Linked DNA regions of Mus musculus. The protein of the gene in region 3 interacts with the protein of the main gene of each other region in a biochemical or structural test. Links are inferred from orthologs where the notes say so. Each region holds a gene or a part of one and is shown on either strand. Other genes may lie near its edges.

The links. The genes of interacting proteins can lie anywhere in the genome.
Region 1: the proteins of Ehmt2 (region 3) and Cbx1 form a complex in vitro, tested with the Homo sapiens proteins (2 studies listed by BioGRID). The link is inferred for Mus musculus from reciprocal best matches to the Homo sapiens genes EHMT2 and CBX1.
Region 2: the proteins of Ehmt2 (region 3) and Cbx3 are reported together in a solved structure, tested with the Homo sapiens proteins (2 studies listed by BioGRID, with this or other methods). The link is inferred for Mus musculus from reciprocal best matches to the Homo sapiens genes EHMT2 and CBX3.

The regions. Positions count from the first base shown.
Region 1 is NC_000077.6:96,805,237-96,809,457, forward strand, and holds the end of Cbx1 (chromobox protein homolog 1), read left to right. Parts: intron 1-1,379; coding exon 1,380-1,524; 3' UTR 1,525-2,566; coding exon of another isoform or gene 2,567-2,579; 3' UTR 2,580-2,913; downstream 2,914-4,221. UniProt on the Homo sapiens protein: Component of heterochromatin. Recognizes and binds histone H3 tails methylated at 'Lys-9', leading to epigenetic repression. Interaction with lamin B receptor (LBR) can contribute to the association of the heterochromatin with the inner nuclear membrane.
Region 2 is NC_000072.6:51,479,718-51,485,012, reverse strand, and holds the end of Cbx3 (chromobox protein homolog 3), read right to left. Parts: intron 3,290-5,295; coding exon 3,195-3,289; coding exon of another isoform or gene 3,191-3,194; intron 2,534-3,190; coding exon 2,407-2,533; 3' UTR 1,309-2,406; downstream 1-1,308.
Region 3 is NC_000083.6:34,896,782-34,902,441, forward strand, and holds the start of Ehmt2 (histone-lysine N-methyltransferase EHMT2), read left to right. Parts: upstream 1-2,188; 5' UTR 2,189-2,192; coding exon 2,193-2,472; intron 2,473-2,578; coding exon 2,579-2,785; intron 2,786-2,878; coding exon 2,879-3,135; intron 3,136-5,660. UniProt on the Homo sapiens protein: Histone methyltransferase that specifically mono- and dimethylates 'Lys-9' of histone H3 (H3K9me1 and H3K9me2, respectively) in euchromatin.

The DNA.
Region 1 (4,221 bases), on a different chromosome or scaffold from region 3:
TAGTACCACATACATGCACATTAAAAAAAGAAATGTGGGGCTAGAGAGATGGCTCAGCAGTTAAGATAACTGGCTTCTCTTCTAAAAGATTCATGTTCAGTTCCCAGTGCCCACATTATAGTTCACTACCTTATAGAACTCTAGTTCCAGGGAATCTTAACACCATCTTCTGACCTCCAAGGGCACCAGACACACATGGTGTATACATATGTACAGGCAAAAGATACACACAGAAAAAAAATTAAATTGTTGCATGGACTTAAACTTACTACAGAATCTTTAAGGGGGCTGGCTATGTGTTAGATACCCCAGTAGGATTCAGTACATTTCCCATCATCTTGATGTGGATTCTTTTTGTTGTTGTTGGGTTTTGTTTTGTTTTGTTTTTCAAGACAGGGTTTCTCTATATAGCCTTGGCTGTCCTGGAACTCACTTTGTAGATCAGGCTGGCATCAAACTCAGAAATCCAAATGCCTCTGCCTCACAAGTGCTGGGATTCAAGACGTGCGCCACCACGCCCGGCTTTGATGTGGATTCTTAAAAGAGAAGCTTATCAGCTTATTCTGAGGTTCTTTGTGACTCTAAACCCTTGTTCATGGTCAGGTTGTGGAGGTTTGTGGTGGTGCCTTGTCACGTTCTATCATGTATCTGTTTAACTGCCCCATGCTGCTGCCTCTGTCTGGGCTAGGCCCAATGTGCTGAAGATAAATGGATAGAATTTACTCATAGTTAACTTCCTATGTGTATATCATTTTCAGATTTTAATCTTGTCTAGCTTCTGCAATTCTTTGGTTTGGTTTGGTTAGGGTTTTTTTTTGTTGTTGGTTTTGTTTTGTTTTTGTTTTTTTTTGAGACAGCGTTTCTCTGTGTAGCCCTGGCTATCCTGGAATTCACTCTGTAGACCAGGCTGGCCTCAAACGCAGAAATCCGCCTGCCTCTGCCTCCCAAGTGCTGGGATTAAAGGTGTGCACCTCCACGCCAGGTTAGCTTCTGAAATTCTAATTAAGCTTTTTTTGGCCCTTTTCAAAGAAGTAGTTGAGTCAGATGACCTACCTTTTGAAGTTTCTTAGAGGACTTTTGTTTGTTTTTGTTCTTTTTTTCAGTTTTTGAGACCGGGTTTCTCTGTATAACTCTGGCTGTTCTGGAATTCACTTTGTAGACCAGCTGGCCTTGAACTCACAGAGACCTGCCCTTAGAGGGGATTTTTAACAGAGGAATATCTTTGAGGGGATCGTGTGACAACACTTGCCCAGTAAATGCTTGCATCCTCTTTCCTAGTTTGTTTCTGGAATTTAGACTTTAAAAGCCCCATTCCCTGGGTGGTCCAAAACGGGACCACAACGGCTGATCTCAAAGTCTCTTTGTGCTTTGTTCTACAGGAAAAACTCTGATGAGGCTGACCTGGTCCCTGCCAAGGAAGCCAATGTCAAGTGCCCACAGGTTGTCATATCCTTCTATGAGGAAAGGCTAACGTGGCATTCCTACCCCTCAGAGGATGATGACAAAAAAGACGACAAGAATTAGCCCTGTTGAGTACCAGCCCCTGTCACCTCTGACTGTGGGTTTCAAGGGGGAGGGAAGGAGTTATACTTGTCTTGACACCATAGAGGTGGCTTGAGAAGATGTCCTTTGAAGAGCCAGCATAGTTTGTGTGTCCTGCAGCTGCCCAAGTGCTTTAAATTGTTCAAGCTGTGTAGTTTGCACACCCATCCCAGTGGAGGGGAAAGGGTAAGTGTTTCAAGGCAACCTGTTCTGCGCTTTGCTAAGGAAGCAGTTGGCCTTCCATGAAGGACAAAACCTGCAGAACTGGGGTGTGGGAAAGCAAAGATACTGTCGATCTTCAAAGAGCATCTCCACAACCCACAGCCTTCTTCCCGATAGTGTTAACTGCATTTTTACAGCCTAGCATGTGTGTAGTTTTTGGCTATTACTGGTATATTAATTGGGGGTGGGAGGGTTGGGGCAGGGAGGAAGGGAGATGGGTAGAATCATTTTGGTTAAAATTTGGGGCCTGATTGGGGAAATGATGAAATAGTAGAACAGCTAACTAATAAATTGGTTCTGTGTCCAGAATATTTTGCCTTTTCAAAAAAAATGTCATTGGCACCATAAGTAAGGACTATGAGAGACTGTTAAAAAAAAAAAAAAAAAAAAAAAAAAGTCTGTTAATCCTAAAACCTACAGCCAAGGTGCTCCCAGCCTGAGCTCAAAGTGGCCCACAAAGGACAAAGCCAGTTCTGAGTTACCAAAGCTGCCATTTGATGATGGAAACTGACTGGAGAGGGAAAGGTTACAGGAGAGTATATAGAGGCAGACTACTCTGCCATAGAGGTGCTAATTCTTGAAATTGGAGAAAAAAAAAACTTTTTCCAATTACAAAGTTATATCAGTTTGTCCATCTAAGCCATTGGCTCAAGTATTGCAGGATGGCCTATGGGAGATGGAAGAGAAGGGCCTTTGCTCTTAGGGTAGAAACTCTTAGAGCCCCTCTCTCTCTTTCTTTTTTTTTTTTCTTTCTTTCTTTTCTATTTTTGTTTTTTTTTTAATTTTTTTTTTTTATTTTCAGCTTTGAACCCTGAAACTGCTTGTGGCAGGTTCAGTTACTGACAGCACAAATTCCATTGAGTCAATTCAAGGATTGAATGACTTCACAAGCCCTGGTCTCAGGAGATTAACTTTCATATTGGGGTAGTGGTTCACTTGAGAATACAAAATCTTCAGATTAACTGATGTCCAAAATACTGTCTTGAATCATGAGATCCATCAATTTTTAGTATTGTCTAGACCTACAAATAGAACTACATTGTAAAATCTTTTTCAGCATGTGTTAAGATGTATGTGAAAATTTCTGTTTAAGTTTAAAGTTCATACCATACTGTCAGTTTTTGTCTTAATAAAATTATAGATTTCTAATTCTTGATTTCTGTCTTTTTTTTTCCCCAACCAGGTCTTCTTCCCGTGTTGCCCAGTCTGGCCTAGAACTTTGAATCCTATGCCTCCACTGTTCAGTGCTGGAATTGCATGGTGTGTGTACCACTGCAGCAGGCATCTTCATCTTATCAGCAGCCCTCTTGCCTCAGCTCAGCTTCTCAAAAGTGCCTGCCACAGCTTCATGACTATAGATGGACACTGTAGGCTCAATCTTGTGCCCTAGTCTTTTAAATGGCCTCAGTTTATTAATATAGTAATATTTGAGCATTTATAATTGCTGAACATATAGTTAGGAACTGGCACATCATTCTATATTTCGTATTGCTGGGAAATTATTTACTGATAACACTTCCAAATATAGTTATTTGAAAACATGTTTTATGAAGTAGCTTAGTCAGTTGGATGGCATCAGCATATGTTGTCACCAAAAAGTTTGAGGAATTGGCATTATGTATTAAACACTCAGTTGGATGTTATCTGTCTTTTGGTGGGGGGGAGTTGAGACAGGGCTTCTCTGTATAGCCCTGGCTGTCTTGGAACTCACTTTGTAGACCAGGCTGGTCTCTAACTCAGAGATATACCTACCTCTGCCTCTAGACTGCTGGGACCATATAATTCAGGAGCCCACATAACATATTCCTTGATGCTATTTATTTTATTATCTTACTCTATGGTGTTTTGCCCATGGGTGTGTCTGTGTACCACTCAGTGTCTGTGCTCAGTGTCTGTGGAGGACAGAAGAGAGCATAGGATACCTTGGAACTGGAGTTAAAAGCTGTTCTAACCCAAATAAATATGGCTACCTAGGAATCAAACTAGGATCCTCTGCAAGAACAGCCAATATTCTTAACCACTGAGTCAACTCTGAAGCCCTTGTTGCTTTTGGTTTACATTAGTATGTACACAGGTGTTAAAGTCAGAGGACAACTTTGTGGAGTTGTGTTCTAGGAGCCACACTCAGATTGATTGCCGTGTTTCACATGCTAAGCCATCTAACCCAGGCTAGCCTGAATCCTACTGTGTAGCTTAGAATGACCTTAAACTCAAGGAAACTCTCTTGTCTTACTCTCCCCAAGTCTAAGGTTACAGACATGTGTCACAAGAGCAGTTTGATTCTAGTCTGTTTTTTTTGTTGTTGTTGTCGTGTTACAAAACAGTCTCCCTGTGTACCCCTGGCTGGCCTGGAACTGCCTGTGTAAACCAGGCTGGTCAGATAACTTGATCCGCCAGGTGGTGGTGGCTCGTGCCTTTAATTCCAGCACTTGGGAGGCAGAGGCAGGCGGATTTCTG
Region 2 (5,295 bases), on a different chromosome or scaffold from region 3:
AAGGGCACTGATTGCTCTTCTGAAGATCCTGAGTTCAAATCCCAGCAACCACATGGTGGCTCCCAACCATCTGTAATGAGATCTGACGCCCTCTTCTGGTGCATCAGAAGACAGCTACAGTGTCCTGAGATATAATAATAAAAAAATCAATCATTTTTGGTTTTTGTAGACAGGGTTTCTCTGTATAGCCCTGGCTGTCCTGGAACTCACTTTGTAGATCAGGCTAACCTTGAACTCAGAAATCCGCCAGCCTCTGCCTCCCGGGTACTGGGATTAAAGGCATGTGCCACCATGCCCGGCTTTTTTTTTTTTCGAGACAGGGTTTCTCTGTATAGCTCTGGCTGTCCTGGAACTCACTTTGTAGACCAGGCTGGCCTCGAACTAAGAAATTCACCTGCCTCTGCCTTGCAAGTGCTGGGAATAAAGGCGTGCGCCACCACCTCCAGGCTATAATAAATCTTTAAAAAAAAAAGTGACCCTGATATAAACAGGTCCAAGGTGGGCTGGAGAGATGGATCAGCAGTGAGAAACTCTTTGTTTCTCCAGACAGCCTGAGTTCAGTCCTAAGCATCCACTCTAGTGGCTCACAACTGCCTGTAACTCCAGATACCAGAGCTGTCCCCCAGCCATAAGGTACTGGCATTCACAGCCCCTGTAATTAAAAGCAAAATCTTCATTAAGAAGATTCAACCAGCTGGGTGTGGTGGCGCACGCCTTTAATCCCAGCACTTGGGAGGCAGAGGCAGGCGGATTTCTGAGTTTGAGGCCAGCCTGGTCTACAAAATGAGTTCCAGGACAGCCAGGGCTACACAGAGAAACCCTGTCTCAAAAAACTTAAAAAAAAAAAAAGGAAGATTCAAAGAAAATGAAGTATTGCCTGCCAACCTTGCTTCCGGCTTCGTCAGCCTGTCCAAGCTGCTCCCTCACACTCTAAGCTTCTTGGGCCTCTTAACGTCTTCAGCACCAGGCCAGGATGGCTCCAGCTTTATGAAGCCTCTACTGCAAGGATAGTCACTGTTGGGACTACCCAGCCCATACTGACAGTGAGTAAATGTGTGTGTAAATATGATGTGCCATGATATATGCCTGTGGTTCCAGTCCTCATAAGGTAGAAGCAAGAACACACAAGTTAAGCCTAACTTGATGTGAGGTTTCCTAGCACTTGGGAAGCTGAGAGAGTATGACTGTTCAAGGAGAGCATCAATACAAAGAGGCCCTGACTCAAAAACAAATAAAGGATAAACTGTGTAGATGTTTCCAGCCCTTATTACAAAGTAAACCAGACAATGACAAAAAAAAGTCATCACATAAAGGAATATAAAACTATTTATTGACCACTGTTCACCATTATTTACAATAAAGTAAATATACAGTTGGATGACATTCTGATACTACAAAGTTACTTTTCTGGCTCATTGAACCATAACCCAAATACTGAAAAGACTGATCCTACCAGTAAGGAATGAGTCAGGGTAAAGAAAAAGCATGCAGGTCATTAATTGATATTAGCAAATTTTGTTCACTCACTTAGCAGGTCTTAAATTGCCAACGTCAGCTCCAGCCACGATTCTATTTCCACATCAAACAGATTCCATAAATCATAACCTTTTAGTACAGACTTTAACTTTCTACAAAGTTCACCAGAGGAACCTTTACATAGACTGGCTGACCTGGACCTGCCTCTGCCTCTCAGCTGGCCTCTTAGGTCAGAGCTCTATCTGCCTCTAGCCCAAGTCTTGTTATTAAATCACACTATTACTTAGTCTAATTCCATTTTCCAAAGGGGACATGTACAACACTCTGTAAATATACCACTGTATTTATGTGATAATACATCAATTCTGATGTTGTTGCCTTTAAACTAGCCAATAAATCACAGAATCTGCTTAATCTGAAAGGTTATGGTTTCAGGAAAATGTTCACAAGGAGGGAATCTCATCAACTTGTATTTTCATCTTCAGTTAAAAACAAAACAAAACAAACAAGTTATGTGTTTTATGCATACACCACATAGAAACAAAAAAAAAAAAAAAAAAAAAACAAAAAAAAACCCAGAATGGTCCTTCTGTGTCCCAGTTAAAAATAAGTTCTGACTTGAGTAATAACTGTAAAATCTCCCCAGCGTTTAAGAAAAGCTGTTCTTCAAAGCTGAGGAAATACAACATGGTATCAAATATTCTATTGTTAAAGGAAGCAACTACAGAAAGCTCTTACTTGCTCAAAGGAATCAGTGCCTTTTGATGCAGAACAAAAACCAAAAATATCCCAACTACTGTCAATACTTTCAAAACCAGCATATCAAACTTGATTTTCATTAGAATGCTATTTTTTTCCACACTAGTAATTCAAAACCCAAGATCCAGATTTTATATATATATATAAATATATATATATAAATGCAAACAATTATTGTGCTTCATCTTCAGGACAAGAATGCCAAGTCAGCCGCTCCTCGTAGAAGGCAATGACAATCTGAGGACACTTCATGTTCGCCTCCTTTGCCAGCACCAAGTCGGCCTCGTCCGAGTCCTTCCTGTTGTGAGGGAAAATAAACTGGTTAAGCATTTAAATTCTGTAAGTTAACTCAGATCCATTCAATACATGATAGTCAGATCCAAATCAATGTTAAATGCTACTCGAGAGGGTTGGATGGTGGTTGAGGTTACACTTCAATAAACTTCTTTTCTCAAAACAAGAATGAGTCACTAGCTTGGCTAATTACATTCCATCCTAAGAAACCTTTCATATAACTTCACAGAATTAGCCTCTAACCCTCATACTGGGGCGGGGGGCACTGGTGGCTACACAGTGAGACCCTGTTTAACCTCTGCCAATTCCTACTTACCCCAAAATACACACACACACACACACCCCTAACCTATCTATTCTTTTATGTTTAATGAAAGCCAGTAAGAAGGCTTGGCAGTTAATGATGCATGGCACACAAGCCAGGCACCTGAAGTTTGAACTCAGGAATCCACATCCAGAGATAGAGACTGGGACTCCATAAAGCTGTCCTCTAACGTACACCGTTGATATACACACTCCCCTTGCCATCATGCATATATACACACACAGTACAAGGTAAAAACACACAAAAAAAACTCCAAACAACCAAAAACAAAACAAACAACAATAAAAGCCCAAAATAAAATAAAAAGCAAACCCAACAAAACAACTGGCCGCACACTCACCACTTCATGAGAAACATTAACTCTCCGCTGCTGTCTGTGGCGCCGATTATTCGTTCAGGGTCGAGACCTCTGGCAAAGCCCCTTGGTTTGTCAGCCTGTATACAGGGTTAGGTAATAGCTTAACTAAGTATTTCTGCACAACAAATAGCATAAAAAATTCTTTATGAAATACAACTTTCATCAGAACTCCCAACAGTAACCCAGGAACAACTAGAACAAGAACCACAGTTTGACTTGAAAACATGCTTAGGACCGGGAACGTAGTTTTATTGGTAGAGTATTTGTCTAAAATACAAGAAATCCTGGGCTTGGTCCAACACTTGGTAGCTGGAGGCAGAAGCAGCAGGAATTAATATTAAGCCTGGGCTAGACAAGACCCTTTCTTAAAATATAAAATAAAAGTTTTATATAGCCTAGATTAGCTCCAAATTTCAACCCTCCTGCTTCAATTTATTGACCATTAGAACTACAGTATGAGACAACACACTGAGCAATTATGCACTCTTGAAAATTAAATTTAAATGCCCATAAACCTAGAACTTTAAAGGTAGAACCTTTAGAGGTTCAAGGCTAGCCTAGACCATTTAGTAAAATCTGACCAAGAACCACCCACCAATTAAAAAAAAAAGCAAGTGAATAAATATGCAGCTACTTATAGCAGCACAAGACTGTAATTTCAGTTCTCAGGAATACTGTAAGTTTAAGTGCACCTTGGGCTACACAGCAAGACTGTGTCTTAAAAATATACACATAAAAAGCCCACAAGGGGCTAGAGATGGCTCTGTGGTTAGAGCAATTGCCTTGTAGAGAACTTTGTTAAGTTCTCAGCATCCACATGATGGCTGACAACCACCTCTAACTCCAGTGTCAGGGGACAGCTCCCTCCTCTGACTTCTGAGGCAGCTGTGTGTATATATACATACATACACTCAGACCCTACCCCGTTAACATTTTTAACGTACTACTAATCATTATTGCTGGGCATGGTGATGTAAGCCTTTAATCCCAGCACCCTGGAGGCAGAGACAGATGGATCTCTGAGTTTGAGTTCTAGGACAGCCAGGGTTATGTAGAGACCCTGCCTCAAAAACAAAACAAATCATTATTGATCCAGTACTTGGTAGATGGAGGTTGGAAGATCAGAAGTTAAAGGCTAGCCTGGGCTATATGAGACTGTCTCAAAACCATAATCGCTTTATTTTGGAGACAAGTTCTCTGAAACCTGAGCTAGCTTCAAAGTCTCAACACATTTCTCTTACCTCAGTCCCTCAAGTGCTAGGATTATAGGTATGAACCATCATGCCTAACCCTGTCTTCCTTAAACTAGGCATTGAAGAGACTCCTCCTTTCCATTACATGGTCTATACCCAATAGGTTTTATTTATATGCATGCTTGTATTTGTATAAACTATTATTTTGTTTAGGTTTTTCTTTTGGTATTGCTATTTATTTTTTTAAAACCATGTGTACTTTTCTGAGCACCTGTAAGTACTGGTGCTTTTGGACACCAGAAAGGGCACTTAACCAGCCCCCCTCCCCCAACCGAAGGTAGAGTTAGACAATTCTGAGTACCCACATAAGTGCTACAAGAGTAGTTCATGTTCTTTAATTACTAGTACTTGGAAACTATTATCTTAAAATTATTTATGTGTTTAATTATTTTACCTATATGTTGTCTGTGTACCTTGTGTGTCCCTGGTGCCTATGGAAGTCAGAAAAATCAATGTGTGGGAGTCTTTGGAACTGGAGTTACAGACTGCTATGAGCTACCAAGTGGGTCCTCTGGAAGAGCAGAACATGCTCTTAACCAGTCCTTTAGCCCTAAAATGTCTGCCCCCAACTCCCTTAGGGGTCCTCCTTATAGACCAGGCTGATCTGGAGCTCAGGAGACCTGCCTGCCTCTGTCTTCCCAGTATTGGAGCTAAAGCCATGCCCCATACTCTGGCTGTTTTTCAATTTCTAAAACAACAAATATTGATAATTATAGCCTATGTAATTTGAGTATAAATATTTGAGAAGTGATGATATCAACAAACTAAAACTACTGAAGTTTCACATCAGTGTAACGAGACTCTAAAGTCAGACTGGGTTAGATTAACAA
Region 3 (5,660 bases):
TGAGGGAATGTGGGATCCCAAAGAAAGATTTCTTTTTTGAAGAGGTGCATAAACGATGTGGAGGAAGAGAGGGAAAAAAAAAAAAAGGCAAAGTTGAAAGTTTTGGAGAACAGCTCTTTCCTGGCTAAAGCTGGCTGGGGGGGGGGGGGATTCTAGCGTTTCTTGAGATGGGGTGGGGGTGGGAATTGTAGGGGGATTGCCAGGAAGCAGCTTACTTGCCCCTGGTTAGAATAGATGACAGGGAGAAGGGAGCGGAGGGCGACACATGTATGAAGTACCAGAAGGAAGGGAGGAGATTTTTGCATGCTGGGGAAGTGGGAAAGTAGATACAAGGCTCACCGGAAATGAAATGATATGTGCCAGGTAAGAGAACACGGTGGGCAACCTGGGTAGGTAATGAGACATTAGGCTACAGTAGCGAGAACAGTGAGTAGCGGAGGGGTGGGGGGGCAGGGCACTTAGAAAAAAAGGACACAAGGAGGGCTGTTGGGGGGAGGGAGAGGAGTAGAGACATACAGTATTTTTAAAGAAAACTATTTTTTAGGATTTTTTCTGGAGTTTGGGGTTTTAGTTTTTGTTTTCCATAAAAATAAACAAAAAAAACAAACAAAAACATTTTTTCTTTATATTCTGGCAATTGCATGTGTGTGACTACCCACCATAGATTCTCCCAGCGCTAACAATTGTAGTCCCATGCCAAAAGGAGCCTCAAGCAGAGACTCGGAACACGCCCTAAACACTTAGGCAGAAACCTTATCACACAGTGATTGGCAACCCTGGTGCTGGCATAAACCATGCGGGGTTTGGTGGCAGTGCAAGCCATGGGCCACAGGTGACCAGTGAACCCACAGAGATGGCAAAAGGGCATCTGTTGCATATTTTTGCTCAAGTTTTAAGGAAAGTTGAAATACCAGCTAAACTTATAGTTGATTACCTAGAAGACTACAATTCCCAGAAAGCTCTGAAAAGTTTTTAATCCAAAGAGGACTACAGTTCCCATAAGATGCCGAATTGGCCTTGGGCCCAGTAACATAAGTACCTGTCTGTCCAATATTGTGTGAGCAACCATACAGGCATTTTCAAGCTTTGGCTAGGACTTAATGCCTGGAGGGGGATGGTGCCCTCGATAGTGTTCAGGGTTGTATACTTGCTGTGTCTACCATCATACTTAAGCTGTCTGCTGGACCATGACCCCCCCCCTCCATGGAGAAGTATTTGGGCAGAAATAGTTACTGTCAATAGATTGAGGTCTCCGCTGCATTCAGTTGACATATCTAGTGCAACCGAAGACACTTCCCCCAGATTTCCAAAAGCACACTGACCCAGAAGTAAAGGTGTCTTCCGTGAGTCTCTGTCGCCCCTTCTTGTGCACTAAAGTTCAAAACTGATATAGTCCCAGCCTTCTATCTGGCGGCTCAGAACGGGAAAGGCACACGCGGCAGCTGCAAAGGCTCAGGCTACACGTGTTCCCAAAACCGGGCGGGGACAGGGAAGCCACAGCCCAGTCGAGCCTCACCCTTGCTCCCGGCGGAGCCCAGGCTAGGAGCGAACGCCCTCTCCCCTACAGGCCCCAGTTCTGGACCTCCAGGGCCATTCTGGGGGGCAAAAATGGCCAAGAGGCCCGCAGCGGCTCCTTTAAGGCGTCTTCTCGCCCTCCCTCCTTGTCCACGTGACCCGGGGCGGCCGCGCGCCGGCTCGGCCCCCCGCGCAAGCGGCGATGGCGGCGGCGGCGGGAGCTGCTGCGGCGGCGGCCGCCGAGGTGCGGAAGGGGAGGGGGAGAGGCGGGTGCATGCCCGCGCGCGCGCCCGGGGGAAGCGCGCGCTCGTGCAATGCTCCGGGGGTGCAACGGGGCCGGGGGGCCCGAGCCGAACTTACAGCAAACCAGGGGGCCAACACCGGGGGCGGATGAGGGGACCAGGGGGTGGGAGGTGGGGGGAGTGGGCGCCGAGTCGCACGTGCCGCCGCCCGCTGCCCCTGCGTGGGCGGTGGGCACCGCGACCCCGGGAGCCCGCGCGAGGGGCGCGAGGGGCCGTCCGCCGGGCTGGGGCGCAGCGGGCGTTGCAGGGGTTGGTGGCCGGGGTCCCCGCGGCCTGGGGGACAAAGGGGGAGCGGCGCGTGCAGCCGGGAGGAGGGGGCGGGGCCGGGGCGCGGAGGCCCCGCCCCCTCCCCCTCCTCTGCTCCCGGCCCCAGAGATGCGGGGTCTGCCGAGAGGGAGGGGGCTGATGCGGGCCCGGGGGCGGGGGCGTGCGGCCCCCACGGGCGGCCGCGGCCGCGGTCGGGGGGGCGCCCACCGAGGGCGAGGTAGGCCCCGAAGCCTGCTCTCGCTGCCCAGGGCCCAGGCGTCTTGGGCCCCCCAGCTGCCTGCCGGGCTGACCGGCCCCCCGGTTCCTTGTCTCCCCTCCCAGGGGGAGGCCCCCGCTGAGATGGGGGCGCTGCTGCTGGAGAAGGAGCCCCGAGGAGCCGCCGAGAGAGGTGAGTGCAGCAGGAGCAGGCCCGACCGGACCTCCACCCTCCCCACCCCCAACACGGGATCCCGGGAGCTTTCAGCCCTGAACTTTTTCTTTTCCCCTCCCGACAGTTCATAGCTCTTTGGGGGACACCCCTCAGAGTGAGGAGACCCTTCCCAAGGCCAACCCCGACTCCTTGGAGCCTGCCGGCCCCTCCTCTCCGGCCTCTGTCACTGTCACCGTCGGCGATGAGGGGGCTGACACCCCTGTCGGGGCCGCATCACTCATCGGGGACGAACCCGAGAGCCTGGAGGGAGATGGGGGTCGCATCGTGCTGGGTGAGAGACTGGGGAGTGAGGGAGACGGGGCGCAGAGGGGCTTTCTGCATGCCTGCTCACCCTGCACCCCCTTTCTGCCTGCCTCTTTTCTAGGCCATGCCACAAAGTCGTTCCCCTCTTCCCCCAGCAAGGGGGGTGCCTGTCCCAGTCGGGCCAAAATGTCAATGACAGGGGCAGGAAAGTCGCCCCCCTCGGTCCAGAGTTTGGCCATGAGGCTGTTGAGCATGCCCGGGGCCCAGGGAGCTGCAACTGCTGGGCCTGAACCCTCTCCGGCAACAACTGCCGCCCAGGAGGGGCAGCCCAAAGTGCACCGAGCCCGGAAAACCATGTCCAAACCTAGCAACGGACAGGTGAGAGTGTGGAAGTTGGGGTGGAGAGACTTGGGGAGTCTCTGGGTCGGATTTTTTGTTTTGTTTTGTTTTTGTTGGTGGTTTGTTCTTTTGGGTTTTTTTTTTTTTTTTTTTCCTTCTTCCGGGATTTAGCCTTAGACCTCTTGTATTCAGATTTTTTTTTTCGAATTTACCAATAGGCTACCAAGTGTCAGCTGTTGGGCTGGGCCTCTGTGAGCAGAGTAATTGTCGGCTTCCTGGAGTTTGTGTTCTTTGGGGAGGGGTGGTCAGCAGAGGAGACTGACAGATGTAGAATTAATTATATAGTTATTGTCCTAATTACACAAATGACTGGGCAGGATCAGCCTTCCCAAGTTTGTGTTTTTTTTGTTTTGTTTTTTGCCTCTGAACAAATGCTTAGGGAGGTTGGTTTGTTCGTTTGTTTGTTTGTTTGTTTGTTTGTTTTTCAAATCCCTACTTTGAGACCAGTCTCAAACCAGATAAAGTTTTTACTGGGAACTCTTCCCTGGGAAGGCCACATAATGACAGAATGTGGGCGGAGGCGTGTGTGTGTGTGTGTGTGTGTGTGTGTGTGACAAGAACCTGGAAATCAAAATTATGTCAAGGTTTTAAGGGCTCTTGATTCAGCTTAAGTATGGCTTGTGTAGCCTTCCTCTGGGTCTTGTTTCGTTTATTTTGTTGTTTGTTTTGAGCTTTATTTTGTTTTGAGAGAGTAGTTTTTGTTTTTTGTTGTTTTGTGTGTGTGTGTGTGTGTAACAGGGTCTCACTGTGTAGCCCTGGCTGGCTGGCTGTGTAGACCAGGCTGGCCTTTAACTCACAGAGATCTACCTTTTTCTGTCTCCTACATCCTGGGGCTGAAGGTGTACACACATGCCTTTTATTTATAATCTTTTTTTTAAAAAAGATTTATTTATTTATTTTATGTATATGAATATACTGTAACTGTCTTCAGACACACCAGAAGAGGGAATCAGATCCCATTACAGATGGTTGTGAGCCACACCATGTGGTTGCTGGGATTTGAACTCAAGACCTCTGGAAGAGCAGTCAGTGCTCTTAACTGCTGAGCCATATCTCTGGCCCTTGTTTTATTTCCTCTTTTTGAGATGGTCTCATGTAGACTGAACTTGCTATGATCCACCCCACCCAGCTTCTACATTTAATTTTTTTCTTTCTTTTTTTTTTTCTTTACTCTTTCTTTTTTTAAAAACTTTTAAGCTTCTGGGTGTTTTACCTGCACATATGTCTGTGTACCACCTTGTGTGTCTGGTGCCCTTCAAGTCAAGGGGGCAGTAGACCTTGAGTTTGAAGGGGTTGTGAGCATCTTGTCAGTGCTGGGCAATTGGACCTGGGTCTTCCACAAGAGCAGCAACCGGCTCTTAACCACTGCACTACCTCTCCGACAATGCTTGTTTTCTTTTTCTGGGAAAGTGATTACCTCACCATGGTGTGGCTGTTCTTCTCTGGTACAGAAGTTCGTGTTTGCTCGGGCTCCTCATATAAAATTATGAGAGCCAGGTGGATCTCTTAAGGTCTGGGTCAGCTAAGAATCAACATTTGCATATGCCTTACACGTATCTGTCTTCCTTGTAGATACCTTATAGATGATTAGCTAATGCCTGTATTAGTAGTTTAAAGACTCCTATATGGGCACAACTTTTAAAATTTTATCTGTTGCTGGGTGGTGCTGGCTCACGCCTCTAATCCCAGTTCTTGGGAGACTGAGGCAGGCAGATCTCTGAGTTCAAGGCCAGCCTAGTTAGAGTATACACAATTCCTTAGACAGCCAAGTCTATATAGTGAGTTCCAGGGCAGCCAAGGCTACACAGGGAAATCCTGTCTTGAAAGAAAAATATTGATTATAAGTGTGTATGTGTAATGGGGGAGGTTGAGGGGATGGACGCAGTAGAGGACATATCTGTGGAGCCTGGTCTCTTCCACCTTTTCATGCCATCTAGGAGTCAGACTCAAGTTTTAGGGTTTGCGCAGCAAGCACCCCTGCCCACTGAGCCATCTTGCTGGCCACTGTTCTCTTTTTAATTTTTTTTTTTTTTTTTTTTTTGGTTTTTCGAGACAGGGTTTCTCTGTATAGTCCTGGCTGTCCTGGAACTCACTCTGTAGACCAGGCTGGCCTCGAACTCAGAAATCCGCCTATCTCTGCCTCCCAAGTGCTGGGATTAAAGGCGTGCACCACCACGCCCGGCTTTCGGGTAGCATTTTTTTAAAAACTCATTTCTTTTTTTTTTTTTTTTTAAGATTTATGGGAGTTCCCTGTCGCTGTCTTCAGACACACCAGAAGAGGGCATCAGATCTCATTACACATGGTCGTGAGCCACCATGTAGTTGCTGGGATTTGAACTCAGGACCTCTGGAAGAGCAGTCAGTGCTCTTAACCCTGAGCCATCCCTCCAGCCCTTCGGATAGCTTTGTTTGTTTGTTTTTTTTTTGTTTGTTTGTTTTTTAATGTATGTGAATACACTGTACAGATGGTTGTGAGCCTTCATGTGGTTGTTGGGAATCGAACT